Tamandua tetradactyla: one gene and its partners. The protein of the gene in region 3 purifies or fractionates together with the protein of the main gene of each other region. This does not show direct contact. Links are inferred from orthologs where the notes say so. Each region holds a gene or a part of one and is shown on either strand. Other genes may lie near its edges.

What was found.
Region 1: the proteins of HNRNPU (region 3) and RPS29 fractionate together in Homo sapiens (co-fractionation; 3 studies listed by BioGRID and IntAct, with this or other methods). This does not show direct contact. The link is inferred for Tamandua tetradactyla from reciprocal best matches to the Homo sapiens genes HNRNPU and RPS29.
Region 2: the proteins of HNRNPU (region 3) and DDX5 purify together in Homo sapiens (affinity purification with mass spectrometry; 3 studies listed by BioGRID and IntAct, with this or other methods). This does not show direct contact. The link is inferred for Tamandua tetradactyla from reciprocal best matches to the Homo sapiens genes HNRNPU and DDX5.
Region 4: the proteins of HNRNPU (region 3) and KPNA2 purify together in Homo sapiens (affinity purification with mass spectrometry; 3 studies listed by BioGRID and IntAct, with this or other methods). This does not show direct contact. The link is inferred for Tamandua tetradactyla from reciprocal best matches to the Homo sapiens genes HNRNPU and KPNA2.

What each region holds. Positions count from the first base shown.
Region 1 is NC_135340.1:3,111,265-3,118,319, forward strand, and holds RPS29 (small ribosomal subunit protein uS14), read left to right. Parts: upstream 1-4,857; 5' UTR 4,858-4,931; coding exon 4,932-4,993; intron 4,994-5,219; coding exon 5,220-5,319; intron 5,320-6,393; coding exon 6,394-6,402; 3' UTR 6,403-6,549; downstream 6,550-7,055. UniProt on the Homo sapiens protein: Component of the small ribosomal subunit. The ribosome is a large ribonucleoprotein complex responsible for the synthesis of proteins in the cell.
Region 2 is NC_135332.1:5,711,946-5,719,884, reverse strand, and holds the start of DDX5 (putative ATP-dependent RNA helicase DDX5), read left to right. Parts: upstream 1-4,925; 5' UTR 4,926-4,949; coding exon 4,950-5,116; intron 5,117-5,450; coding exon 5,451-5,616; intron 5,617-5,959; coding exon 5,960-6,056; intron 6,057-6,136; coding exon 6,137-6,270; intron 6,271-6,391; coding exon 6,392-6,457; intron 6,458-6,682; coding exon 6,683-6,824; intron 6,825-6,901; coding exon 6,902-7,062; intron 7,063-7,500; coding exon 7,501-7,673; intron 7,674-7,939. Other genes in the region: CEP95 (centrosomal protein of 95 kDa), read right to left, coding at 238-345, 1,609-1,737, 3,121-3,139. UniProt on the Homo sapiens protein: Involved in the alternative regulation of pre-mRNA splicing; its RNA helicase activity is necessary for increasing tau exon 10 inclusion and occurs in a RBM4-dependent manner. Binds to the tau pre-mRNA in the stem-loop region downstream of exon 10.
Region 3 is NC_135333.1:16,458,667-16,466,010, forward strand, and holds the start of HNRNPU (heterogeneous nuclear ribonucleoprotein U), read right to left. Parts: upstream 3,018-7,344; 5' UTR 2,790-3,017; coding exon 2,102-2,789; intron 1,216-2,101; coding exon 1,104-1,215; intron 1,015-1,103; coding exon 941-1,014; intron 1-940. UniProt on the Homo sapiens protein: DNA- and RNA-binding protein involved in several cellular processes such as nuclear chromatin organization, telomere-length regulation, transcription, mRNA alternative splicing and stability, Xist-mediated transcriptional silencing and mitotic cell progression.
Region 4 is NC_135332.1:6,063,719-6,071,397, reverse strand, and holds the start of KPNA2 (importin subunit alpha-1), read left to right. Parts: upstream 1-4,674; 5' UTR 4,675-4,782; intron 4,783-7,679.

The DNA of each region.
Region 1 (7,055 bases), on a different chromosome or scaffold from region 3:
GAGCAAGGGAGCCCCGGAACTAGCGACCAGCAGATGCCATCCACGTGTCTTTCCTGATCTGCCTTCCTTGAGCCAAGGTATCTTTCTCTGGATGCCTTAGTTAGGACGTATTTATGACCTTAGAACTATGAACTAGTAATTTATTAAATTCCCTTTTTAAAAACTGTTCCATTTCTGGTATAGTGCTTTCCGGCAGCATTAGCAAATGAATACATCTGGAGGCCGGGAAGTTCTGGTGGCGCAGCGGGCACAAACTGTGCTGATGCCTGAGGGAGAGGGTGGGGCTCAGGACCATTTTCTCTCCGGATGAGGCCGATAAAGCGAAAAGCACCCTACCGCTTCCTAAAGTGCGTCTTCAAGGGACAGAAACCTCAGCATCATCTGGACAATCGTGGCAACTTACTGGTACATCTGAATTGTTTACTGTTTGTTCATCGATTAGCAGAGTCCAGGAAAAATGCTTTGGAGGAATTAATGTGGAATCATTAAAAAGGAGCATGTTCTGGCTACAACAAAGGGAATTCTAAAGGGCAAAGGTTAGAAGTCAACGAACACATTCGTGGAAACTGTATGATGCGTTATTTTAGGTGGTAATAGAGTAAAAGCACTTTCTACATATTTGTTGATTTTGTGGATTATTAAAATACTGGCTGGTTGAGGGATGTATATATTTGTGTTATTTTTACTGGTATTGAGATATCGCCAGTAAACACACAGGACTATTTAACCTTTGTTGAAGAGTTATGTTTTATTAATTTTCAGTGGCTTCTGTTTCACTTTTGCTTCCATTTTGTTGCAATTGTAAATGTTTCTATGTAAAAAAGGAAAGCTAGCTTATTAAGTATTGATGAGAGGTACTTCTTAGAATTAAATTTATATGTAATTAAATTTAGTCACAATTAGCTATGGAATTAATCATTGAATAAAGACAGCATATAGTCAAATCTAGGTGCATTTTAAATATTTTAACTTTTTAGTGACTTCACATAAGGAAGTCACTTTTTTTGGAAATAAAAATGTATTTTGTAAGTTAGGCAATGCAAATTATTGATTTTATGAGGAAAACAGCATTGTCATTGGATGATAAGCTATCTTCAAGCACCAAAAAAATGCAGAAATGTTACCAAGCTCACCCACATCACTAATGTTATTCCGCTCAGGGGAGATTTATTCAGTTAATAAATATTGTTACAACTTTTACATTGTATTCCTTTAAGTTATGTCACACTCCTTGTGCATTCCTATTAAACTGGTGCTTTTAGTTGCAATTTTTCTCTATTTTGAACAGAACTCATTTCTTTATAAATTAGGCAAAGATTTTCAAAATGATGGTTAAAAATGGAATCACAGTAATCTATTGACTAAGAACAGCTGAGAACTAAAGAGACGGGCTATTTCCAGCCTGCAAGGAATCTAATCTACTTTTAAATTGTGTCAGTAGTAATTTCTCAACTGGAAGATTGTGAACATTAACAAGGTTTTCTTAAAACCTGGTGTTTTCAAAACCTGGTTTTCTTAAAATATTTTTATTGGGAAGTCTTCACACACATTAGGTCCATCCACAGCAAAAAAACCAGTTTTAAAAGTAGCTTTTTTCTCCTTCTCCAAACTAAAAGATAGAGATTATGGAGGTAGCTGACTTATTTTATTCAAGTCACTTTGTTAGCCCTTTATTGCATATCATATCCAATAGTTATCATTTTTAACTTTTTATTTTGTAATATTTATAGATTTCACATTAAGTTGCGAAGGTAATACAGGGGTCCCATGTGACCTATACTCAGTTTTCTCCAATGGTTACATCTTACATAATTCTAGGACAACCTCAAAACCAAGAATTTGACATTGGGACAGTGTGCGTGTGTGCAGAGTTCTGTGCCGTTTTATCACGTGTGTAGATAGCCACACCAGTTAACATATGGAACTATTCCTTCCCCACAATGACTTCCCTTGTGCTGCTCTTTTGTAGTTAAACTTAGCCCCCAACTCCTCCAGCCACCATCCCTAATGCCTGGCAATCAGTTATCTGCTCTCCGTTTCCATAATTTTGTCAATTTGAGAATGTTAAATAAATAAAACCATACAGTACATGAATTTTGAAATTGGCACTTTCACTCAGCACAACGTCCTTTCCATCCATCCAAGTAGTTGCATATATTAGTAGTTTGTTCCTTAAATTTAATGACTGAGTATCACCCCGTGGAATGGGTGTGCTGCCAACAGTACAGCCATTCGTTTTTTGAGGGTCATTTTGGTTATTACCAGTTTTTGGCCGTTGCAAATAAAGATGCTATGAACAGTCATGTTAAAAAATAGTTTAGTGTGAAAGCATGTTTTTATTCCCAAAGATTCTAAAATTGAAGGTAATTCCAGAGAGATGCAGGTCTTCAAGTGATAAAAATTCTGGAAGCATCATCAAAAATAATTTTAAAAATAGTTTGAAGGAAAAATTTTGAATAATAGTGTCTTAACATGCAGATCATACCAATGGCTTAAATACAAAAATAAAATCTATGCTGTGTACTGTTGGAATGTTTTAATCTTATAAATGTATTTGATTTTTTTGAAAACAAAATATCAATTGGGGTTGTTTGGGCAAGGAGATTTTTGCAGTTTCTCTTTGTACATCACCATATTAAAAAAAAAAAGGAACCAAACTCAGTAAATATTATATTATGGGGGAGATGTGTTCAAAAAGAAGGAGAGATTTAAAAGTCAAATGGCTGAGCACTAGGAACCTATAAGAAGAGTACAAGATTAAGCTCAAAACTCTTTATAAACCCTGGGTTTGTTAAAAGGGACTTTTAAAGCTGTGTTCTTGGCTCTTATTGAAAAAGAAATTGATAATCCCATTGTTTGGGGTAGATGGTGCCACTTTACCTGAAAACTAAAAGGAAATATGAGTTCTCAATTGCAGTTTGCAGTATCTCTATCAAGAAGAATAACTTTTAGGCCAGAGTAAACATTAAAAACTACTTGATATCAAGTAACTAGGTGCTTTGGTTTGTCTTTTTTTTTTTTTTTAATGAGTTCACTTCTCTAGGCCCAAAGGATTATATCACAGAGTATTGACAATATTTATGGAATCAATTGCAGAACTAGGGGAATTATTTAAAAGTTATGGAGAAGGACACCAATCAGGAAAGACTTGCATGAGAAAGCTACAGAGGGGTAAATGTGAGATTATCCTTTTAGAGGTAGAGGATTTTGGAAACTACACTTCATTGATTTTGATATGCATTCCATGTAATGCTGGAGAAGCCTGACATTGGACTTTGGCAAAATCCGGCAATAATATAAGGTATGTGTTCAGCCTTATTTATCACTAGGCCTCCTTTTGTGCATCCTTCATACGGATTATGCAAGGTTGTTTGCCTTTGCCAAGCCTTTTCCAACTCAATTCTTTGGCTCAAGGCTCTTCCTTTCACTGGGTATTTGCTTTCATTAAAAGATGACTTGTAAATATCCCATTCTTCAGGGCCCTGTTATCTAAGGCCCTTTTGCTCTTTTTGTACTTTATAAGTACATCCAAAATATTCTGCTTAGTTATATGCATGATATTGAGTCACAAACGTCGAAATTGGAAGGAAGGGCTCTTTGAGATAATCCTGTTTTCCTCACTAGATTTGCTAATTTGAGGGCAACGATGAAATCTCCCTTTTGACTCTGAGTCCCCCTTAATCTCTAAATTCCCCCCTTCATAATATAACACAGTGCCTAACTTAATGACTAGCGTGTCTTGGAAATGACATACTTCCAGAAATACTCTACTTCAGTTCTGAATCCAGCAAGCTTCTTGGATTCTTGCACACTGCAACATTTTACAGGTCCAATTACAGCTTTGATATCATAATCTGTGTTTAAACTAGCCGTGTAAAACGCAGTCAGCTTTATTTGCAGACATTATGAATGCCCACGTGGAGTTCAGGCATCTCTCAGCAGAGTAATCAGATGGCCTTTACTTTTCATTATTGCTTTGTTAAGAAGTCATCTGGTTAAAGTAGCATCGCAGATTTGATTCTCACTTTCAATTCAATTTAACTATCGAACACGCTAAGGGTCAAAGAGCCTCGCATCACCTTTCTGGACTGTAGCGGCTAAGTGCATCTTTTTGGAGGAATGTGCCCATTAAAATCTTTTTTTTGAAAAGGTTTTCTGTTTAACGAAACAGAAACTCCTAGCGTTGACTCCCAATTATTACAGCTGATTTTAGGTTGTTTTTTAAGTTTACCCCGGTAGGTGCCAGTGCGGAGTTGAGGCAAAGGCATTCTTCCAAATGTAGAATTCGAACTGAAAGAATGTGACGGGGGGGTTCCAGATACAGAATTCGCACTAAAACACTGCACCGGCGTCCCCCGAGAAGGTGAGGACGCCTTGGAGGGTCAAGGGTCCTGTCCCGAGGGCGCCAAAAAGACGGGGTCTCGCTATGTTGCCCAGGCTGGAGTGCAGTGGCTATTCACAGGCGCGGTCCCACTACTGATCAGCACGGGAGTTTTGACCTGCTCCGTTTCCGACCTGGGCCGGTTCACCCCTCCTTAGGCAACCTGGTGGTCCCCCGCTCCCGGGAGGTCACCATATTGATGCCGAACTTAGTGCGGACACCCGATCGGCATAGCGCACTGCAGCCCAGAACTCCTGGGCTCAAGCGATCCTCCTGCCTCAGCCTCCCGAGTAGCTGGGACTACAGGCGCGCGCCACCACGCCCGGCGCTCGCGGCCGGGGCCAGGGCGAACTAGAAGCTAACGTGCGCTGACGTCACCGGTCGCTGGGCTCCAGAACGTCCCCGAGATCTGCTCTTACCCGGACAGCGTTGTCACAGGGCGCACGCGCCAGCCAGCAATGCATCATGGGTAAACCCTGTCCCCCAAAGCTTGAAGAGCGCATGCGCACGCTGCCTCTCTCCTTTCCCTCGTTGCCGCCCTGATAGCAAGATGGGTCATCAGCAGCTCTATTGGAGCCATCCACGAAAATTCGGCCAGGGTTCCCGCTCTTGGTGAGAAACAGCATAGAGTCTGGAGAAGGGTTGTCTGGGTCGCGAGGCTCCTGAAATTTAATGTGACTAAGCCCGCGGGCAGCGCGTGGAGAGGCCGGAGTCGCCGCGCGGTCGCCGCCATTACAGGCCTGTGAGGCCCGGAGGCCGGGCGGGTGGGGGCTGTCCTTCCGAACGGTGAACCCTCGAGTTTTCGAGACCTGCACTGACACCATTTCTTGTGTTGCAGCCGCGTCTGCTCAAACCGGCATGGTCTGATCCGGAAGTACGGCCTCAATATGTGCCGCCAGTGTTTCCGTCAGTACGCCAAGGATATCGGCTTCATCAAGGTGCGTGTCCGCAGACCCCGGGCCGTCCTGACGCTGAGACGTGGCACAGTTACTAGTTCCCTCGGTGACCGCCCGTCCTTCTCTTTTATGTAGTGGGCGCCTTCCTTTGTAGCGGGTGACACTGTTGGAGGGTCTGGTAGCTGTTCTCCCATTCGGCAGCCAGACCAGTGGAGTTAAGAGGCTGGAGGCTTAACAAGAGTCCCTCTAGCCTTCTTTTATCCCTCTGCCACTTGGGTGCCGTGTCCTCTGTTGGATAAAATTATCTAGTGTCCACCACGTTAAGTAATTAATTGGCCTTAGGAGTACCTAGACGTTTTGCAGCCAAGTATATTCGTTAGTTACTGACCAGAAATTTTAGATAGCGCCGTTTACTGGAATGAGCTCGAGATCTGGGACCAGGTAGACCTTGTCAGAATTCTGCAGCGCAGAGTCAGCCACCTGAAGTGCAAGTTAAATCCTTCTTTGCTCTTTGAACTGCAATCACGAATTTTCTGGATCATAGTTGAGAAAATAACATGTTTGTGTTGATGTATTATAGTGGGTGTAAACTTGTGAATAAGAGATAGTCCAGAAGAGACAGAGTATCTTTTAAGCTTAAGCTTTTAACGTCGACCAAATACCCTGTATATATTTGGTTTTACTATATGGCAGTTCAAGTATAACTCAGTGGGAAGAGGCAGGATATCATAGATGAGAGAATGAACTTTGACATTTGTGAAACTTATACAATATAGTGTCTGGCATACATTGAGTGCCAAATATATTAGCTGTGTAAATATAGTTATCTAGTTAGTAACCATTTTGAACTTTTGATAAGGATCATTTTATGCAGTAGTGTTCTGATTTGGAATGTTTCTTTGAAGAAAGAATGTCAGTACTAAAAATTAACAGTCTAAGATGTAAATGTTGAGGTTTGTGGAGCATCTTCTAGGAGGCATTCAGTAAATATTTGAACATTTAGCTTTTGGTAAGCTAGGCTGGGTGGGTCTTGTTTCTGTATGTCAGTGTTTGTGAGAAGATGTTAGGAATTTAAAGTATTTTGTAATTTATTTCATGTTTTTTTTTTTTTTCCAGTTGGACTAAGTGATCTTCCTTGATCTTCCAAGACATCTACCTGACTAAGGAAACTATGCTAGTTATTTGTATATAAATAAAACTAAGAAACTAAAATTATGACTGTTTTAATGTGAATGGAATAAATTGGTTATAGAAGTCTTATTTTAAAATTTATTACCTTCCCATTTTCAGTGGTTTATCTTTGAATTATTTTCCCTAGTTATATAAAAATATTGGTAGCGAACTCTGGTAGATGCCAGTGTTGGTTTTATCTTTAATTTAGAAAATGGTACCTTTGGAGAAAACAGCAAATTAGTTAATTTTCATTTTCCACTGTTTTTATTTTTACAATTTGAAAAGCATGTGAAAGTGCCTGCAATGTATGTATGCAAATGTCATAACAAACTTCTCCTGAGTAATTAGCTCACTACAATGAGCTGGGGCAGTGGTAGCATGGAAAAGATGTTAGAAATGTGCCTGTATTTGCCTGGAGATTGTAATCCTTACTAGAACACAGTTGGTAAATTTCTCAAATATTTTTATGGGAGCAGTGATTACTGTTAGGATGTGGGTTTCAGAATTTACAATTGGAAATTACTCCAACAGATGTATGTTTGCTGAGAAAAGAAGTGATTTTGAGCAGTTGAAGTGGGGTTGCAGGTTGTACAAAAAAGGGGCAC
Region 2 (7,939 bases), on a different chromosome or scaffold from region 3:
CTACCAGCTAGGATACCTACATTTCAGATGCAGCTTCATTATAAATTCAGTATCTCACTGTCCTATAAAATCTCACATGTATGGTTGACTGAATGATACCATTTGACTTAGTTCAGTGGTGCTGTTTAGCGTATTCCATATGCTTATTCATTTGGTTCAGTAAACAATGTCTAGGGGCCTATCAAACAAATTATTTTAATGAAATGCATAATCATCTGATGGTTAGTATATACCAACCTGTTATGTGAGATAAGCTGACCTGCAGGTAATCCAAGGCCAGTGAATCAATCACTGCTTGCACATTATGCGCATCATCCTCTTGACTCTTGGGAATAGCTATGACATCTGGAAAAAAGTGACATAATTTTGCTTCCATGAGGGTCCGAATTTTTATCTATTCATCTCTGACTAGATTTCTTAATAAACCCAACTGCTATAAAAGTAGGTTGTGCCCAAAGAGAAGAACTGTATAAAATCCAGATAAAGTCACAGCCTGATTACCACACAGGAGAATCTTCATCTATTCAACTGACATACATACATACATACATACATACCGTACAACAAGCACCATGCTAATGGAAGATAGAGGGGTTCCTAAATTCAAGGAGATGCTCATATTCTATTAAAGGAAGAAAAAAGGTAAGACATGAGGCGAGACTTTAACCTGTAACTGTGGGCTACTTTCCCAGGGTACCACTAGGAAAAAAAAAAAAAACAGTAGTATGAATGAAGGACTCTTACATGTCCTGCTATAGCAGCCTATCGAGAATTACGGAACAAAGGTTTAAAAAGTCAGCTCAAGAGCATGGAAAGGTTTTACTATCAAGTTAAGTTTGGATTTTCTCCTCTGGAAAAAAGAAGATCTATGTTTTGGGGCAGGATAAATTATTTTAAAAGATTGATCTAATAACTATATGCCAAACATAATTAGAGAGTCTCAATTGGATGAGACTAGTATCAAAGGCACCCACTACAGGCTATTACATCAATTCAGGAACTGAGTAAGGGTACTGGTTCATTGTAACAATGGGAAAGAGAGACTTCAGATCTTATAGTACTTAATGGTTATAAACTACATAAAGAGACAGAGGTAGTTGAGGAATCTATGGATAAACTATGAGATATTCAACCTGGGATACAGCAAAAATCACATGGTACCCCGAAAGAAATGAGCAAGTCACAACTTACAAGATGATAGGACATATGAATTTATTAACGGTCTCCTTGGTAAAGTAGGTTAATAAAGTACAAACAACAATTTTCATCTCTAATAATGTTTAAGTAAAAAGACCCAACAAATTTCTGAGCTCTACTCAATTTTAGAATCTTTGAAGGTACATCTGCAGAAAGGGTATGACTTTCATATGGCATTAGGCGAAATTTGATTAACGAGTGATTACTGAGAACCAACTGATTTAATCAAGGTTGTTATTATGGGTGGGTCCCATAAGGTATTTATTAAGGTGATAAATGCAATATTTAGATAGAAATAAGATGTAGCTAAAGAGAAAATACAAGGTTTTAAACAAAGGATCTAATTAAAGGGATGAGAAACTTCTAGTTGAAGATATAGACACAATTACTCCTGCTTTTTAGTACCCTTACCTGGTACCCTTTCTCCCAAGATTGATTGATAAAGAGCAATAAAAACTTCGGCATCACAATCTTCAAGTTCATGTATCCTCAGATGTATATGACATTTTGAAAGGAGATTATTTGCAATAGTTATCCACTCTGTTGGGAAAGGAAAGGAAAAGATCAGCCTCGAGTACTAGAAAAAGTCAAATACACATACATTAAAAAAAAACCTAACAAATCCCCAGCAATACAAACACTGAATTCCTTAGAAGACATGAAATTTGTTAAAGAACTTCAAAGACCCTACTAGACGAGACTTTTGAAAAGCAATTTCTTATGATGGCTTCCAGAGAGCTGTAATTTCAATGTAATCAACACTACGATGCAAACACAACTTTCGCTGCTGCAACCTAAGACCTTAGGTTATTTATCAGTGGATTTTATTTTATAATAGGTGTTTAAGTTAACACACATTAACAAGTAAACGGGATACGGCAAAAACAAGACGGTCTGTTAACGAAAGTAATTAATGGATGTGCCTTCAAATTCCCAACAGTTCTGGACGTGTTTTTGGCTCAATTATTTTGCGCAAGTCAGGATTTCTCCGGTGCCCAAATAGTAGTGATTAATTTAGACTGTTAAAGATTGGAGTAATGATAACACCACCACTACTGCTTTGGGTTATCAGATTTAACGTATCCGAAAGAAAATATGGGCAATACATAAGAACATTCCTGTATCCACGACCTAACCTCGAACCAGCACATTACCAATACTGTAGCTCCCTGCATGCTGTACCGCTCCTCCCAGATACTGCTGGCATTAATAAAATAGCTCAAGTGTTTCTCGACCACTTAGAAGGCTTGAAACTCTTGTTGCCTGAAATGACAGGCGATTAACTGGAAAGCACTTTTACTCCTCATTAGATATATCTCTAGCATGTTCTGGAAACAAACGCGCATTATTGGGAGTGGTTTGTACGCTGTCCTGGAGAAAAGGATGAACGCGTCCTAAACAACCAAAGCAATATGCGTTTCAGAAGCCGATGCTAGACAAAGCCGTTAACTCTCTCCAGAGGGCAGTGAAGAGAAAAAACAAAACATTATTCTAGCTTTGGCGGGGCATCAACAGCACTTAAGAGTGCTATTCCTCCAAAGTTCAATTCAAATGCCTTAGTCTCCACAATGCAAGAGCGCAAAGCACACTGGCAGTGAAAAGACACTCAAGAGAAATACAGATTCGGGGAAGATCCTTTCTGACTGCTCTTTCGTAACCTGGATACGGGTGTGTTACCGGCCTCGCCACAGACCATGCCCTCCTCCACCTCAGACCGCTACTCTAAACGGTGACGGAACTAGTCTAGGAGACCCTATTCAAAGGACCGCGGACTGCCAGGGGGTGTCTAACAGTCAGGAGCTCCGCTTTTCAGCCCAGACCAAGATTCACCCCGGCCCCTGCCCTCCAGATAAAATGGACAGGGCGTTCGGGTAGTTGGGTGGCTTCAGTCCACATAAAGCAAAAGTCCTGGCCGAGACTCACCAGCCTCCGAGCCAGCCATGTCGCGGAGGAAGGGAGTCGCAGGACTTGCAGCCAAGTGCGCGGGGACAGTGTCCTGAGAGGGTCACACAGCGCACACACAGATATCGAGGGAGGGAGAACGAAAGGAAAGTGCGGAAAAGAAGAGGTGAATGAGGGAGGGACGTTAGAACGGCTTCTCGCCGCTGATTGGTCATTAGAGGAGCACTTCCTTTCGCATCACGAGCCTAGGCGGCGGTTTGCAGGATCTAGATTCCACTCTCCGTCAGCGAGGTCCAGTTGAGGGATTCTTAAGTGAGTGGAACCGACAGGCCAGATCGCCCACGGGTCTTGGCCGGTGCCCTGGGGAATTAGAACGGCATTTCCGGAAGTAGTTCGTTTTGTATCCCTCCGCTGACGCCCGTTGGAAAGTAGTGCCGTCGGCTCAGCCGGTGGGCGGGGAGCAGCCACGTGACAATATCAGACTCCGCCTTTCCGTCCATTGGTTAAGGGCGTGGAGGCTCTCTGGGGACGTAAACATCTACAAGTGGGGAGAGCGGATTGGCCTGACCTGGCCGCCTTATCTCTAGGCTGGACCTGAAAAAGGGTGGGGTGGATTGCTTAAGATATGTAAAGACGAGAAAAAGGGGAACTCAAGAGAGTGTAGGATGCGGACCCCCAGCGTTTGGTGGGCCCGGACGTGAAAGGAACGAAAAAACCGGCGGCTACAAGGAAGGGATCCCGGAGTGGGGGGGAGGGGGGAGTGGAAGGGGAAGGGTGAGAATATGGCGGATTCCGGAACGCCGCGGGCGTTGCGGCCTCTGCGCAGGGGGCGGGGCGACTAGGTCACAGAGCGGTTCCCAGTGTCCTTTGCGGTGGCGGAGGCGGTCCAGACTATAAAACCGGCTGCCGGGAGGCGGCCGGTACCTCATTCATTTCCCCCGGTGTTTGTTGTGCAGCTCTGGGTCTTGTCATCGACTTCTCTCTGCCGCCGCCGCCCCCGCAAGGCTTCGCCGTCGCGGAAGCCTACCCCAGCGATTCCCCACACCCGATTCTCTCCAGTTCGTTCCCCACCAACCGCAACCATTGACGCCATGTCGGGTTATTCGAGTGACCGAGACCGCGGCCGGGATCGAGGGTGAGTGTGGGACCGACCTGTCAGGCCCGCGGGTGGGGGAAGGGAGGACAAGGAGGGTAGCGGCCAAGGTATGCGGGGTGGAACCTTGCCCTGCCTAGCGTAACTTTGGGCCGCCCCACTCCTAACTTTGCGCACCTTTTGACATTTACCCAAATCTGATTATGAGGGATTTGCGTGTCAACAGTTCTCAGGTCCACTTTTTGAGGGGAGGAGGGGGCTCCCGGACCTCCGCCATTTTCCGCCTGTCATGAGCATTCGGGGGACTGTGTTGTGAAGGGAGGAAAGCGCGACGCTTTGAGGCGGACTAAGTATCCGCCGTCATTAGTTCAACAATTCGGGAGGTGTTTGAGGGGATCCGGAAATTCAGTGGGAGCGAGGGGGCCGTTTCCGAAGCCATCGAGGCGGTGGCGACAGGAGGGTGGCCGGCGCTGCTGGATTCAGCCATGTGGCTGTGCCGCTGGTACAAAATGCCGGCCTCGGACATGGCGGCGGCGCCTTTGTTACCCCGCCCGGCGGAGGAGCTCAAAATGGCAGCGTCGAGAAAATGTGGCGCAGAGAGAAATGCGAGACAAAGGGGGAAGCGCCGCCCCAGCGGGAACGCCGCCTGGCCGACTCCGCCCGGGCCGGGCTCCTCCCCCGGTAGTTGCCGGCTCCTCCTTCTCCTTATTCTTGGGTTATGTAATTTTCTTACCTTGATTGAGAGCTCTTCCGCGGGATGCCCCCCAACTCCGTTTGTTTGCTATGTCCCGGAGCCCCTTGTTCTGCTCTCGATGCTGTTGCGTCATCCATTCTTAAAGCCAAAGCCCGTTTGCTTGGAAACAGCTGTAGAAATAAGGCTCCTCTTCTATCGTTTATCTCCGAAATGGAGATTTCGTTTTTAAGGTTGTGGGAAAGATTTTAACCACAAGCTGTTGTCTATCCTAGATTGCTATCTTAGTAATCTGTATTTGTGGAATTTGAGCATCCAATTTCCGATTTTATTCATAAATTATGGTTTGCTTACTGTTCCTGGCTTTAATGAGGTGTACAGGGGACGACAAGAAATAAGATTTAGGGTTAACTAACTGACTGTTGAGTGACTATCATTAAGGGCAGTAATGGGTTTTGTATGACACACAGGTGCTTTGAATAAAGTTGAATAATCCTTAGTGTGTGCCATGGAATGGTAAACTTGCATAAAAATACAAATGTTTGATTACAAACTTTTTCTTTTCAGGTTTGGTGCGCCTCGATTTGGAGGAAGTAGGGCAGGGCCCCTATCTGGAAAAAAGTTTGGAAACCCTGGGGAGAAACTAGTTAAAAAGAAGTGGAATCTTGATGAGCTGCCAAAATTTGAGAAGAATTTTTATCAAGAACACCCTGATTTGGCTAGGCGCACAGCGGTGAGTGATTTCATTTGGCTTCGTTATTAGGATATAATTCTGACTTACAATAAGTCAGAATCTGACACAAGTGTCTTGCAAATCTAGGGAGATTCATACTTTCTGGCTTCCAGCTTAGGAAAGAGGTGTGAACCATTTCTGGGAACAGGTTGCTTTGAATTTTCTAGTTAGAATGGTTATTTGATAAAATATGTATTCTTGTGCTTTGTAGGTTTTCATGTGGATCTAGGTTGAAAATCAAGGCCACTAAAAGTAGTTTATAAATTTAGGGGCTTACAGTTATATATTTAGGGGAGAGGTTATGCTGAGTCTTACTCGAGTACACTAATTACGTGTCTTTCAGCAAGAGGTAGAGGCATACAGAAGAAGCAAGGAAGTTACAGTCAGAGGTCACAACTGCCCAAAACCAGTTCTGAACTTTTATGAAGCAAACTTCCCTGGTAAGTGTTAGTTTTGAATTTGTCATCTTTACTTTCTCTTGGTGTAACATTTTTACTAAATTTGCTACCTTTGGTTACAGCAAATGTCATGGATGTGATTGCAAGACAGAACTTTACTGAGCCCACTGCTATTCAAGCTCAGGGATGGCCAGTTGCTCTAAGTGGATTGGATATGGTTGGAGTAGCACAGACTGGATCTGGGAAAACACTGTCTGTAAGTTTGGGAACACTTTGGAGTGTTCTCTAAAATATGCTAGATAAAGTGGATTCAGAATAAAAGGGGGAACAAAGAATATTTAAATGTAACTGTTTTTCTTCATCCTCCTCCCACATAGTATTTGCTTCCTGCCATTGTCCACATCAATCATCAGCCATTCCTGGAGAGAGGTGATGGGCCTATTGTAAGTATATAGTCCATTAATTTGGTTAGAAATGTAACTGAGTTGCAAAGATAGGATAATTTCTGTGGTTTTATATGTAGAGAGAATAGTAATCTCACAATTGTCACATTTTGGGAAATTGCACATTTGGAAGAAAGAAATCATGTCTGCTAGTGTAAGGCTTATAAATTAGCAGTTTAAGACTAGGGATCTAGGTCTTATGCTGAAAGCTGTTTCTTTCCTTAGTGCTTGGTGCTGGCACCAACTCGAGAACTGGCCCAACAAGTGCAGCAAGTAGCTGCTGAATACTGTAGAGCGTGTCGCTTAAAGTCTACTTGCATCTATGGCGGTGCTCCCAAGGGACCACAAATACGTGATTTGGAGAGAGGTATGTAATAGAAAAGCTTGTTGTTACTGGTGCTAAAAGTTACGTGTTTGGTGGTTACATTTTATGTTTCACTGAAGGTGTGGAAATCTGTATTGCAACACCTGGAAGACTGATCGACTTTTTAGAATGTGGGAAAACCAATCTGAGAAGAACCACCTACCTTGTCCTTGATGAAGCAGATAGGATGCTTGATATGGGCTTCGAACCCCAAATAAGGAAGATAGTGGATCAGATAAGAGTAAGTGTTTTTTTTTTTAATTCACCTAAGAACATATAAAAACAAACATTTTTAACATAACGAACATTTCATACTTGGTGTACAAATCAGTGGCTCACAGTATCATCACATAGTTGTGTATTCATCACCATGATAATTTCTTTAGAACATTTGCATCACTCCAGAAAAAGAAAAAACTCACATACCATACCTCTTACTCCTCCCTCTCATTGACATTTCTATCTATTCATTTTAACATTTGTTCCCCCCTATTTATTTTTTCATACGTTTTTTACTCATTTGTTCATACTGTAGATAAAAGGAACATCAAAGGTTTTCACAATCACATAGTCATTTGAAAAGCTATATCATTATAAGTGTTGTTAAATATGTTATCATTTCAAATTTAACTTTTTGAAAAAGTTACGATACTAATTTTTTTAACCCACATTTGTTAAGCCTGATAGGCAAACCCTAATGTGGAGTGCGACTTGGCCAAAAGAAGTAAGACAGCTTGCTGAAGATTTCCTAAAAGACTATATCCATATAAACATTGGTGCACTAGAACTGAGTGCAAACCACAATATTCTTCAGATTGTGGATGTGTGTCATGATGTAGAAAAGGATGAAAAGTAAGTTTTTCATAAGTCTTAATTGACTTTAAAAACAATTTTCTACGTAATTGAGGACTGGTTCATATATCTTTTTTTATAATGTATTTCAAAAAAGAACGAAAACAATCTTGTTATGGTCTTAAAAGTGATTTTCAGTTGGGTGGAACCTGAATATGCTTAAAACTAGTCTGTCAGTTCTTTTGGAATTGCTTTGCAGCTTTCAAATAATTTTTCACTATAGCATTTTTATAGGAAAATGAATTCCTACCCTGTGGTCTGCTTAA
Region 3 (7,344 bases):
CCATAGACTATCTCAACTACCTATAAATGGTATACGGTAAGAAATAAAAAATTTAATGTTTACACTGTTACAAATCTGAATAAATACAACTTCTAATTCATGGAAATTTAAGCTTCCACTGCTTAAATCTACTGGGCGATGTGACACCTATCTACTTGTACTTCAATCATTTCTACCCTCTGCTCTACTTATTACAATGAATAACTTCATTTTTATCAAATACCAAACCAACGTAATTACTTATAGTAAAATTATAAATCTGACAGCCATGGCTCATTTATAGGTTTGCAATACTTCCTCATACTCAATTGCAACCCAACTGGGTAAAGTAGCAGAATTTACAGTGCTGCCATTGATACCATTCGCTGCTGAAGAAAGCTAGTGGCCCAGTGAAAGCCCACTGCTGCTGCCCCAGGTCTTTGGAAGAAATCAACTTATGTTAAAGCAGCAGCTACTGAACTGGAATTGAGAACAAAACAGCAGTTATTGAAAAAATAGTATTACAATCTTTCGTTAGAATAGGGAATAAACTTGTGTGCTAATGGGAAAGGTCATTAGCAAATATTTAACTAGCCCAAATAGCTCACATTATAATTCTACAAAAAAAGCGTAATTACTTTACTGTAGAAGCCTTAGTATAAGTTATGGGTACTTCACAAATTTCCATTAGGTAATTAGTAAAAAATTGCCATTAATTTTACATTCCTAAGCATAAGAGCTTTCAAGTCATATAAATTATAAAATCGCTAGAGCATGTGAAATTACCAATACAACTGATGCTGTACTTAAATATTAAGCTATAAGAATGAATACACACCATAATCTCCTACTTTTACTGTTTTCTGAACTTAGGTTGGACGTACAGCATTACGTCTGTAACACTGTAGAACCAAACCACAGCATTTGGAGCTGGAGGAAGGGAAGAAATGGCTTCACTTACAAGTATCAAGACAAACCACTGTGTCATCGAAGTGTTCATCTTCTTCTTCGACAGGCGGCTGAGGAGATTTGGCTCTGAAAGAAAGAATTGTCTCCTGATATGGCTTTTCCCGTCAACCAACAAAGAATAGATGATTAAAAAAAACTAGGTTACCATCCTCTACCTGCTATACTTGTTTTCTTCAATGTACTCAAAATATCCGCGGCCATGATCTTCTCGAGGTCTTTTAACACCTCTCTTTTTGTCTCCGCCTTTCTGCTCTGTTTTGCCGTCTCCTACAATACACAACAGCCTTATAAGAAGCCAAGCCGCCAAAGAGTGACCAAAAAAATCCTTTCCTAGTTTGAGGCGCAAGACCTTGTCTTCATCCTTTATTCCGTAAAGAGCTTTCAATCGACGAATCAAACGCGAAATCAAAGCACAGAATTCAACCAGTTAGTGACGCAGTCCAAAGACGTAACTAATTTTGCCGTGTACGCGATGATCCGAGAAAACGAAAGAAAAATAGTCGGGCGCAAATCCTGGACCCACGTGCACCGACAGTGTTCAGGAAGGGGGGAGGGGCGAGCCTCCGCCGCGCGGCCCAGCCCGCCCCTCCCCCACCAGCCCGCGCGCCCCGCCGCCGCATTGTACTGATCTTCCGCCCAGGCTCCCCGCCCGGCGCCTCACGACGGAAGTGACGTCACGCCTCGACCCTGCGCTCCTTGCACAATACAGCGCCCAAGAGCCGCTGAGGCACCCCCCGCCCCGGGACCTCGAGCCTCTCCCCTCCCCCCCCAGGCATGTGCCCGCACCGCGCACACGCAGCGCGGCGGGGCCCCCGCTGGCCCACAGGGCTTCCTCCCGCCGCCCGCCGTGGCTCCTCCCCCTCCAGCGGCAGCTGCAGCTCCCCCTGGCTCTTGAGTCACATAATGGAGGCGCCACCGCCGCCGTCACACACACCGACCCCGAGGCCTCATTACGAACCCAGAATTACCCGCAACCCCCCTTCCCCACCTGGATAGGCACACGGAAAAGGCTCCGCACCCGCCCCCCTCGCCCAACCCCCGCGGCGGCCCCAGCCCAGGGTTCCCTCCCCGCGGCGGGGCTCCGGCAGGCCTGGGGCACGGTCCCACCCCGCGCGGGCCTCCCGCCGCGCGCAACGTACAACGCAGCACTCACCCGCCGCCGGAGCCCCGGGGCGACCGCCGCCTCCGCCGCCTTCCGCCTTCTTCTTACCTCCCGCCTGCTGTTGGCCCTGCCTGGCCCCGGGCGGCGCCACCGTCACCGCGAACAGCGAGGTGGGGCCGCTGCTCTTCCCCGCGGCCTCCTTGGCGGCCCCGCGCTGCTGTTGGGGCTGTTGCTGCGGCGTCGCGGGCGGTTGAGGCTGCTGCTCCCCGTGCCCGTTCTCGTCTCCCGCGCCTTCCTCCTCGTCTCCGAGCTCATCTTCTCCTTCCTGGAAGCCCTGATCGTCGCCGTTCTCGTCTTCCGAGGCAGCCTCCTCCTCCTCCATCGGGCCCGAGTCGGCCGCCCCCGCGGCCCCGTTCTCCTCCCCTAGCTCCATCTGGTCGCCATCCAGGGCCGCGATCCCTTCCTCCTCCTCTTCTTCCTCCTCCTCTTCATCGCCGGCGGTCGCGGCCTCCTGCTCGAGGCCTGCTCCCGAGCGCCCGGCGGAATCCCCGCCCAGGTCTAGGCTGCCGTTCCCGGGCTCCATGGCGGGGCGGCCTCCGGCCTCCTCGTCGTCCAGCGCGGCCTGGAGTCGCTCCATGAGATCGGCCTTGAGGCCCTTGTCAGAAAGGCGCCGCTTCTTGAGCTCCTCTTTCAGCTCCGACACCTTCAGCTTTTTTACATTAACAGGCGAGGAACTCATCGTGAGGGCCCCGATTCACCGCTAGGCGCTGGTTCAAACTCGGCTCCGCTCACACGGCCACTGGTGGCGGCTAGTGCGGCTGCTCCTCGGCCCGGGCGGCGGCTGCGGCTGCGGCTGGAGGTGGGTTCGTGCTGCAGAGCGGACCCGCCTGGTGTCGAACGGCGCCAATTCCTTTCACCGAGTTCGCGAGGGAGACGCGGAGACTCGCCTGGCGCGAGCGAGCACGCAACGTCCTCTCGCAGGGCGGCGCCGCGCACGTAATATAGTCGCCCCGCCCCCCAGCCTTACGGTAGTGCTGCGCAGCAGCAAAGTCGCGGCGCGCGCGCGCTCCCCTTCATCCTCTTTACCGTACTTACTTCCCCGCCCCCACGCCGCGTCCCAGACTCGGAGAGCGGCGCAGGCCGCGCGGCGCCGTTCCTCACGGACCGAGCAAATGGAGGAAGGTCGACCGTCTCTCGGTTAAGCCGAAGCCTACCGGCCCTTCCAGTGCCTTAGTACTACTTTTGCTCTGTCAGTCCGATCTGGACGCTGCTTTTATCCATATGTCTTTAATTTCACTCGAACTCTCCACCTTTTCTTCCATCTTAGATTTGCATTCTTAGATATTTGTCCTCTATCAAATTAAAACTCCTCCACATTTTATTTCAAGTTTGATTTGTACCTCACAAATTAGCTTTGATTATGTGCGTGAGGTGTATTTTTCCGCTTAATTTTTTTGTTTAATTTTACCGAGTCCTGCCTGGGGAGTTGGATTTTAAGTGCCGGAAGGGTGAGGGCAGAAGCCCTTTCTTTTGTCTTTTCCACAACCTCTGTTGCAGGGCTTGGGATCCTGTATTCCACGCTGCCAAATAAACTTTACAGGCCTTCATGGCAACTGTTCTCATGTTTTAGTAGCCAAATAGATAGATCTCAGAATTGCATTTGTGAGTTTTCTTTACCTACCAAAAAGACGGCTCTTCTATAATGTTTATTCTGTCAAATTTAGGAGCGGTCTGCAGTCCCAGCAGCTAACAATGAGGGGGAGAGCAGTCATGCACTTTGATTCTGTTCCTACTCCTATGAAACTTCTTAATCAAATCATGCTGAAACTATAGAAACTGGTGAAAAATATGATTTTGTAAAAAAAAAAAAAAATAGTCACGCTGGAAAGGAAATCGGTAATTTTTGTTGTATTTTTAGAAGTTTATGTTTTCTCTTTAGTAAATGAAAGGACTGGTATGGTCTCGAAGTTTTAGGTAGGGGTTACAAGGAAATAGATTTGTGATAACCCGGGAGAGTCTGTACAGTGACCAGCCACTGTACTCTCTAAGGAGATCAGTTTACCCAGGAGATCTGTTTGGTACAATAATGCCCCAATATTAATTTGAAATTTGGAAGTGTAGAAATCTGTGGTTAACTTTCTCTCATAGACTAGTCTGATTTGATGATTAATACATTTTATTTTTAAAGTTCCTTTTTGATAGTTTTTAGGAAGCATGTACCTTGCCATGCAGGCATGTGTAAAGATAAAATACCAACATTTATGTAATGATTTAAGTTGAAATTAGCGAACTATGTACAATGCTGATAATTCTTGGTTCAAGTTGACTTGAATTGATCGGAATAATATCCAAAACAGAACCAAACAGGTTTTAGCCTTTGGTTATATATCCTTGAAATTTATAAACAAGTGACAAAACTGGAATTTGAACGCTTTCTTTGCCCTTGATCAAAAATTGAAAGAGCTACAGGAAGCTTACACATTCACAAATTAGATAATTAGTCCGTTAGAGAATCAGGGTTGAATACAACTAAGTCTTTTAAATGTGTAACTATCCTTAGATCCTTAGGTAATAGTTACATTTTTAGGTATTAGTGATATGAAAACAATTTCAATTTAGCTGAAAAAAATAAGCCCCAAAACTAGATATATTATCAAAATAGATAGATTTACAACAGTTGTTTGGGGTACATTAAATCAGTTGTAAGAACAAACATGAAATATGTTGCGATGTGCTTTGAAATGTATTGTTTTTTGTATATATATTATTTTTTACAGAAAAAGAAAAAAGTCGATTGTGATGATCAATAAAAAGTCTTAGGGAAAAAAGCCAAAAATAATAATTCAAAAAATAAAAAGAATGAACATGAACTCTATCTTTAGATGCACATTAGAAAGTTCCATCCATGGCCTTGTTTCCAAGAGCTTTGTGACTTTTAGAGCCAGATGGGGCCTGTTGATCGTCTTCAGTCTGTTCATTCCACAGTCAAGGAAGTGGAGATCTCACCCCCATGCCGATCCTCTTTCGTACATTACAGTAGGCTCCCTTAGACAGCGTTCAAAAGAAACCAGTTTTTCTAAATGCTCAGAGAACCATCATCTTACTGGTTCTTTTTTTTAAAAGGAAGAAATGTACCATAGACATATTTTACCACTGAAAGTACAAATCATGACTTGATTTTACTAGTCGTTTTTTACTTTACTCTTTTTTGGGGGGAGGGGCAGGGTGCATGGTCTGGGAATTGAACCTGGGTCTCCTGCGTGCAAGACAAGCATTCTACCACTGAACCAGCTGTGCACCCTCATTCTGCTTTATTTTTTATACCATCATGACAGTCCTATTCTACAAAGTTGACTAAAAGTGAGGTTACTTTATATTTCTGAGGGACCTATAAGGAACTTGAAATTACCCCCTTTTAAAATCCTGCCGACTACCAAGAAGGCACAGTTGAAGGGGGACAAATTAATTCTCAATGGCAAACAAGTGATTGATTAGTTAATTACCCCTGGATAATTGATGTAGCAGAGATAATTACAAAGTTAGGTACCCCAGATAGATAATTTACATTTTAAGGTTGAAGCAATGCTGTTGTTTTGTCACACAATTCACTCAGCAAATATTTTTGAGCTAAGACAGGCGCTGGTCTGCTGACAGATCAGTGATCTATATAAATATGCCTTCACTCTCAGGGAAAGTTAGTCAGTAAATAAAGTAGAGATGACAGGTACTACAGGGGAAAAACCAAGCAGGAGAAGGGCAGGGCATGCTGAGGTGGGGTGCATTTATAAATGTGGTAATCAGGGAAACCTAACATATAGGGTAACCTTGTGGAAGCCTGAGGGGTGTGATAGGAAGTGAGATCAGAAAGGAAAGATAGTAGAAAAGATTCAGATTGCCAGTAGTTTTCTAGGTTGTTTTGTAAGGACTTCGACTTTTGCCTTCAGTGAGACGGAAGACACTGAAGGATTGTTAGCAAAGAAATGACATGAACTGATAGGAATACTAAATTTAATGAATCAGCCTGCACTTCATTTATCATGACACTTCCATTTAATTCTGTATTTTTTGTATACTACAATTTAGCATAATGAAAGAAGCAAGAAATATGCTTAGATACATTTTTTAATGTGTTTTACAAAAGATATAAGAAATTACAAGTAGCTTTGGGTTATTATAAATTAAGACAATTTTTCAAATAGACCAACAAGAAAACCCAATTGGAAGGGGGATGTACCAAATAGCAGTTAAAAGTGCAAGCTTTAAAATCAGACAGACCTGGTTTCCATACCAGCTAAACCACATAATAGCTGTGTGATCTTGGACAAGCTGCCTCATAGGGTTGTTGAGAAGATTCAAGGAGGTAATGAATATAAAACCTTGAGTACAGTGCGTGGCACATAGTCTTCATTAGATATGCCTGGCAAGTTAATAAACTTAAGAAAATCCGTGATTTGATTGTTAAATATTATTTAGGAAATTGTGACTTTACATATTTTGTAAATTGTGAGTGATTTGTTCATGGTGAGATTTCAATTTGGCAACAAAGTGAAATAGTGGAAGCAAGAATGTGCAGATTTTACTTCTAGCCCCAGCACTGTCATTATAATCAGCTGTGTGATCTTTCTGGACATCAGTTTCCTCCTCTATAAACCATGCAGAACAGACTAAAAGACTTAATAGAACTTTCTATAAGTTCCCTATTTGCTGACTCTAAGAAAAAGCCATGGGGAGGAGTCAGGCTAGAAGTTAGTGGAAACCTGGAAGAGAAAGAAGAGGACAGCACTATATGGTAACACCAGGGAACCCCAAGGATTGCCAACCCTTCAGCACCACTGGCCCCAGGCAGAAACAAACTTTCAACCTCCAAAACTATTCCAAAGCAATAAATTCCTGCTGTTTAATCCAACGAAGTGTGTGGTATTCGTCATACCAGGTGGGAAACTAACACAAAACCCTCATCTAGATGTGGCCCAACAGCTATACTAAATGGAAAGCTGATCCAGGAATGGCAGTAAAGTGTATATGTAGATACATTTACATAATATATTTACAAACATATACGCACACATAGTCCCAATGCATCCAACAAATATATACTGAGCACCTACTATGTACCAAGTATTGTACCATATACAAGGAATACAGATACAAATGACACAGTACCAGGCAGGAGCTTAGTGTTTGGAGAGAGAAGTCAAGGTATAAGCAATTGCAAAGGATGCTATGAGACACTAGGACAACTACAAGGGGAGCCAGCCATCTTGACCAACTGCTTAGCTGCTGTCTGTAGGATT
Region 4 (7,679 bases), on a different chromosome or scaffold from region 3:
CCCAAATGGACATTTGCATACCAATGTTTATAGCAGGATTTTTTATGATTGCCTAGAGATGGAAATGGCACAAATATCCATCAATAGATGAATGGCTAAACAATCTGTGGTATATACATACAATGGACTATTATGCAGTTGGAAGAGAGAATAAAGTCATAAGCCTGTGTATTAGCTAGGGTTCTCTAGAGAAACAGAATCAACAGGGAACATTCACAGATATAAAATTTATAACAGTGTCTCACATGACTGTGGGAACACAGAGTCCAAAATCTGCAGGGCAGGCTGTGAAGCTGACGATTCCAATGGAGGGTCTGGACGAACTCCACAGGAGAGGCTCGCCAGCTGAAGCAGGAAGAGCCTGTCTCTTCTGAATCCTCCTTAAAAGGCTCCCAGTGATTAGACTGAGCATCACTCATTGCAGAAGACACTCCTCTTGGCTTATTACAAATGGAATCAGCTGTGGATGCAGCCGGTGTGATCATGATTTAATTCTATGAAATGTCCTCATAGCAACAGACAGGCCAGTACTTGCCCAACCAGACAAACAGGTACTACCACCTGGCCAAGTTGACACATGAACCTGACCATGACAACATGTAACAACATGGACTGACCTTGAGGACATTATGCTGAGTGAAATTAACCAGAAAATAAGGACAAATATTGTGTGGTCTCACTCATATAAACATTAATGAGTGAACTTGGAGAATTGAAGTTAAGAACACAGGTTATCAGAAGATAGAAATAGAATAAAGATTGGGCAATTGGTGCTGAAGGAATAAAGATTGTGCAACATGACTAATTGTAAAAAATTCAGAAATGGGTAGCACAATATTATCTGATGGTAGCACAGTAATATAACTACACTGAATGAAGCTGAATGTAAGTATGATAGAGGGAAAAGGGCTGGGGGCACATATGAAAGAAGGAAAGATAGAGGATAAAGACTGAGATGGTATAATTTAGGAATGCCTAGAATGGACAATGATGGTGATTGAATGTACAAATAAAAAAACATTTTTGCATGAGGGAGAACAACTGACTGTCATTATTGCAGGGTGTTGAAAATAGATGGTATATGGGAAAAAGCACAATCAATGCAAGCTAGGATCTATAGTCAACAGTAACATTGCAATTGCTTCCATTGAATGTAACAGAGGCATTTTGCCAAAACTAAATGTCAACAGGCAAGGGGCATCAGGGAGCAGTATGGATTCTTTGTGGAAGAAAAGGAAATGGCTTCATATAGATTATGGTGGCAAAGGCATGACTATATACTTAGGGTGGATTGTATGATGTGTAAATAAAACTGTTTAAAAATGAACAGAGAGAAACAAGTGCCAGAGAAAATGCAGAGAAAGAGATGTACCTATTCACTGTTCGTAGGGAAACCGAGAGGTGCAGCCCCTTGGAGGGCAGTGTGGTGGTGCCACAGGAGGCTAGGGGTGGGGTTGCCATATGACCCTGAAACCCATTGCTCAGTATATACCTGTAGGAAGTGAGTGTGGGGACACGAATGGACATTTGCGCACTGGTGTTTATGGTGGCAGTGTTCCGGATCCACAATGGATGGAGGTGGCCTAAGGCTACAAGGACTGAGGGATGGAAGGGGGAACTATGGTGTAGACATACATTAGACTACTGACCGGCTACAAGAATGAATGAAGTTGTGACTCATCTAGGCATGCAACTAGATGAATGAACTTTAAGGACTGTCTGTTGAATGAAATGTCTGGAACAAAAAGACAAATATCATCATGCCTCCATCATATGGACTAACGATAATATAAAAACTTGGTGAACTAAAGTCAAGAACTTGGTTTATCAGGTCGGGGCCTATTGTAAAGGCTCCTAGATTGTAAGCTCTTACAGCAGTCACATATATGCAGGAGGGGTCACTGTTAGTTCTAGATTCTGTGATACTGAGCTGTTTGTATATAACCTGGTCATTCCCAAGAACTTCAGGTATTTATGTGACACCTGAGACTGTTAGTTAGAACTCTAAAGCTACGAAAGTCAGCAGTACTCCATACCAGAACTGTTTAAAAAGATGAAAAAGTGATCAGATTGTGTAGAGATTTGAATGAAGCTGATCTGGACTAATGTATATCAGAAGACTGGGTAAAGGATGTTATCATCCATATTTTAAAACTTCAACTTCTCTGTGAGACTAAAGGGAGAGATGCTTATTTGGTGCAAAAATTATACTTTGGGTAGCCCATTTCCTACATGGAATCTTGAATAGGGTGTGAGTTTTTTTGGTTTGTCCTGGTTCGTGTGATGTCCCAATATATCACAGAGTAATTTAGGCAGAATAAAGAAGTATTTGTGATGTCCCCTTGGGGGAATAGGGAGAAAGGAGGATATATTCAATCTTCCCAATTTGGAGAATTTCTGATATTCTTGCTAGCAGTGTGGACCACCAAATCTATAGGCCAAACCCTCAATCTTGGGGTTCACCTCTATGAAACTTAATCATGCAAAGGATGGGCTAAGACTACTTAAAATTAAGCCTAAGAGTCACCCCCAGAGAACCTCTTTTGTTGTTCAGATGTGGGCTCTCTCTCTAAGCCAACTCGGCAGGTGAACTCACTGCCCTCCCTTCTATGTGGGATATGACTCAACAGGGGTGTGAACCTCCCTGGCAATGTGGGTCAGAAGTCCAGGGACAAGCTAGAACCCAGCATCAAAGGATTGAGAAAGCCTTCTTGACCAAAAGGGGGAAGAGAGAAATGAGACAAGATAAAGTTTCAGTGGCTGAGAGGTTTCAAATAATCGAGAGGTCATCCTGGAGGTTATTCTTACACATTATATAGATAATCCTTTAGTTTATGGTGTGTTGAAATGGTTGGAGGGAAGTACCCGAAACTGGTGAGCTGTGTTCCAGTAGCCTAGATTCTTGAAGACGATTGTATAAAGATATAATGTTTCCAAAGTGACTGTGTGATTGTGAAAAATTTGTGTCTGATGCTTTTATCCAGGGTGTAGACAGATAAATACGGATAAAAAATAAATAATAGGGGGGTCAAAGGTTAAAATAAATTGGATAGATGGAAATACTAGTGCTCAGTGAGAGGGAGGGGTAAGGGGTATGGTATGTATGACTTTTTTCTTTTTCCTTTTAATTCTTTTCCTGGCGAGATGCAAATGTTCTAAAAAATGATCATGGTGATGAATATACAACTATGTGATGATATTGTGAGCCACTGATTGTCCACCATGTATGGAATATATGTGTATGAATATTTCTCAATTTAAAAAAATACATATATATATATGCAAATATAAAGAATATGACATTTTCTGGGGTATTTAGAAGCTTTAAACCACTACAGGGGGTAATTTGTTATGTAGCAACAGATAATTAATACATAGCTGAAGTCCTTCAACTTACTTTGCTTTCCAGAGATGATAACTATCCTGAATCTGGTGTTTCTATCATTCATTTGGATGTCTTCCTGTTATGACATACTAACTACTATGGCAAACAAATCTTATATATTGATTTTGACTTTTTTTGAAATTTATACTTCCAAATTTTAAGACTACCGTATAATAAAAACTGGGAAATTTTTCTGGGGACTTCCTTGCCTAAGTGACAATGAAATGCAAAAAGACATCTAGTGTAGAAGTAACGATGACTGAAATAATACTTAAATATATCGAGAACTTACTCTGTATCAGGCACTATTCTAAGTATTAAATCTCTACAACAACATATGAGCTATCCAGTTTTATCATCCCTGTTTTTCAAATGAGTAACTGAACCACAGAGAAGTTAAATAACTTGCCAAAGATTATATAGCAAGTAATTACGTAACACCGAAACATCAGCCACTGCCAGTTCTCTTTATATTAGGTAGGAAGAAAAAGGAAGGGAAAAGAACCATTAATATAAATCACAGCTATTAGAGGCCCCCTTTTCTAATGGCTGCCAAGTCTGAGTTGCCTTCTTCTATCACTAATTCCATGTCCCCTTACCCTCAGCTGGGCACGATTCTTTGCTTGGTGGCGTAACCAAAAATTGATTCTCATAGGATATTGGGGTCATGTCTTTATGACCCCAATAAAGTATAGCAACTTTACTGTATGCTATACTTTTCCATTAACCAGATCTTTCTGGCAAAGGAGTACTAAGAGGTGTCCCAGTGAATCCTGGGTTCTAGACACCCCCTCCTTCCTTCATGCAGTAACAGTGCCTGTTCCCCCCCCCCCATAACCACATCAACCACAGAGGCAAGTCCAGTGACCCCCTTCTCTGCCTACTAATTCAGTGGAGCCCCAAACGACCTCAGCTTCCAGTGCCATGGAACCGTCATGATGCTTCCCCCTCTAAGCAATTCTCTCTAAGGCACCAGGGAGACCTAGAACCACTGAGTCCCAGGTCACTGGCCAGGAAAACAAAAATTCTTCCAGCAAATTAGAGGTAGAAGAGGGAGGGGACACTCCTCCCTCCTTTCCTTGGTTCTTGGACCCCTGCCTCCTGGCAGCTGGTTTACGGCATATTCTGCATCTCAACGGCCAGAAATCCCAACCTCACAGGCTGTTCTTTCCCAGCTGGCCCCGTACCTGAGCCTGCAGCAGGCCACACCCTGCTGGCACCAAGGCAGCTGCTTCTAGGTGACGGGGCACACGGTCAGGGTCAGATCAGTGGAATACGTGGACAAGGGCCCGCGGTCAACCTTTCACTGTCACATGTCCCACGGTCACATGTGGGAGGGACATGGGGAGAGGGAAGGCATCATCTAAGTCTGCTGGCAAGTTCTGCAGGCAAGGAAGGCAAGTTCATACCCAGAACCCGGGTCTGGCCCGGTGAGCCGAGGCTCTCTCCACCCACTGGAGTCTCATCACTGCAAACAAGGGAGCATTGTTCCGCCTCTCCGGGTGTGGCCCGCACCTCTCAGCGCCGCCCTCTGCTGGCCTGTTCTAAGACCTGCAGCCACAGGCAGCCTCCCTCCCAATCCCCTCCGCCTGTTGCTCCCTCACTGATTTGGGTGGCTCCTTCTCCTTTTATTTGAGGAGTTTCTGGTGTCTCTTACTTTCACTGAAGATGATGTTTGTGGTTCTGCTTCTCACCCTCCTTGTGTCCTTTGTGGGATTTCTGAGAGGAGGGGAGAAAAGTTGCAACTTTGCTCTGTCCTTTGTAACAGGAATATCATATAATTTAAAGCAGGACAATTCTGAATACTAATAGTGTATTGTGATACTGACTCGGATGTTTTTTGGCATGCTTAAGTGAGTTGTGAAAGTCTGGATTAATGTAATACTGATTAGTGCTTGTATTTATCCAAGGCTTCAAAAATTAAAATCCCGAAAGATTTGGCATTTGGGGTGAGCAGTAATATATCTCCAATTAGAATATTTTCTAAGTAAAATAAGAATATTACTATTAATGACAGTATAACATAATTAATATGTTATTGATTATGTGTTATTTATTAATATCTGCAGTTAAGATATCAGGAGTATTTATAGTATTCCAGGCCCTGAACTAAGTCCTTTAAATGTAATAACTCATTTCACCCTACAATAACCCCATGAGGTAGGCATCATTATGAATTCAAATTTAAAGATGGTGAAGTGAATACTGAGAGGTTACATGGCTTGCACGCGTGGCTTGCACAGCTCATAAGAAACAAAGCTGAAAATCTTCATTCATAACTACTGTTTTGCTATTCTGCTTCTGAAAAAGACAGTAAAATAGAAAGGTTCCATCAAGAGGGGAGAAGAGAAAGAAAGAAGGGGGATCGTATTAGAATAGCTAGAAGGAAAGAACTGTAACTGTGGAACGTAACCCATTAGCCTTGATTCGTGAACACGGCTATATAATTATATCATTTTTACAGTGTGACCATATGATTGTGAAAACCTTGTGGCTGATACTCCTTCCTTATTGTATGAATAAAAAAAATAAGGATAGGGCGGGCCGCGGTGGCTCAGCAGGCAAGAACACTGACAATAAATAATAATGGGGGTGGTAAGGGGCATGGGATTATTTTGGGTGTTCTTTATCATTTTTATTTTTATTTTATTTTACATGTATTTTGGGGGGAATAATGAAAATGTTCAAAAATTGTGGTAATGCTACGCACTAGAGTAACTTTCCAGAAACCTTTAGCCTCCAGATAAGTCCTGAAACCTAGAGTTCCCAGCGTCTCCAGAACCTCAGATAGTTCTATCTTCCTACCCTATATTAGTGACAGACCCTTCCAAGATGAAAAAGTTAGGATGACCATAGCCCAAATACCCCTAAAGAGAGGGATAGAAAGATCAAAGGTGATGATAGACTTATACAGAGAAGGTAGGGTTTAACAAATAAATATGATTGCTGAATCACTAAATTGATATCTCTTTTAGTCTCCAGTATCTTAGAGAAGCTAGAAGTTAAAACTTAAAATTGTAGAATTGTAACCCACGCCAAACTCCGAAATATGTTCTGCAACTAATTGTGGTGGTGTGCTTTGAAATTTATTGCTTTTTTGTATATATGCTATTTTTCACACACAAAAAAAGTCGAATGTGATGAGAAAAAAAGTATTTATGCCTTCTAACCTCCTATATTCTGGAGCAACTAGAAGGAAAAATCTGAGAGGATGATATGGTAGCCCACGACAAACTCTGGGATTGGTTCTGCGACTACTTGTTGAAGAGTGCTTTGAAAACTACTGCTTTTTTCTTTCTTTGCTTTGTATATATGTTACACTATACAGCTAAAAAGTTAGAAGAAAATTGTAATGAATGTACAACCATATGATAATACTGTGAAACACTGATTGTACACTTTGGATGACTGTAGATTATGTGAATAGATATCAATAAAATTGCATTAAGAAAAGAAGAAAGAAGTAGGCTCATGGCCAGTGTTGGTGGCATTGTCACTGGGAACAAAAATTATGCTCCAAATGCCTTACCTGAGAAAACACAAAATTTCAGCCTTAATCTTCCTTCTATGCAGCCTCTAGATCTTTGTACATGCTAGCCACAAGGCGGGCACGATTTTTGATAAGATGCCCCATTTCCTAATGGCCTCTGACAGAGATTTTCAAAACTTTGTTTCACTGACAATTTTGTCCCCACTTTCATGTATTTTCAACCTAATAGATGATATCATCCCTTGAACAGGGTTCGCTACTTTTTGGAATCCAACAGAGAATAACACGTTCTGAATAATAAAACAGGCAGAAACTTAGAAAAAAAAAGTTGGCCAATGATTATAGCTTGTTCCTGTACTTCCAAATGAAGATGCCCTAACTTCTAAGCATATGACATATTCCGCAAGACCGTATTTTTCAGAGGGCCAAAAAGGTCTTTTAAAACAGAGGGCACTATCTGTCCTAAAAAAAAACAAAACAAAAAACCCCACAACTTTCCTTCTCTGCTGTCTTCTTTTATTCTCTTATGCAAACAGTTCTATAATGATTGCATGGTTTGATGGGGAGGGGCAAATTTTAATCGTATTATCCCAAGGCAGATATAAAAATTGTTTAATAAAATAAACACCGCCACACAAAAGTCATTCTAAAACAGGCAGAAAAATCATTTGGTGATAAGTGAATGTTGATTTAAAAAGTCTTGATGTGTGTGCTGCTGGAGAAAGAAAATGGGATATAAAAATAAACAATATTGCATTTTGAAGGACAAATGCTACAGGTATATCTACAGAGGCGATTATGCAA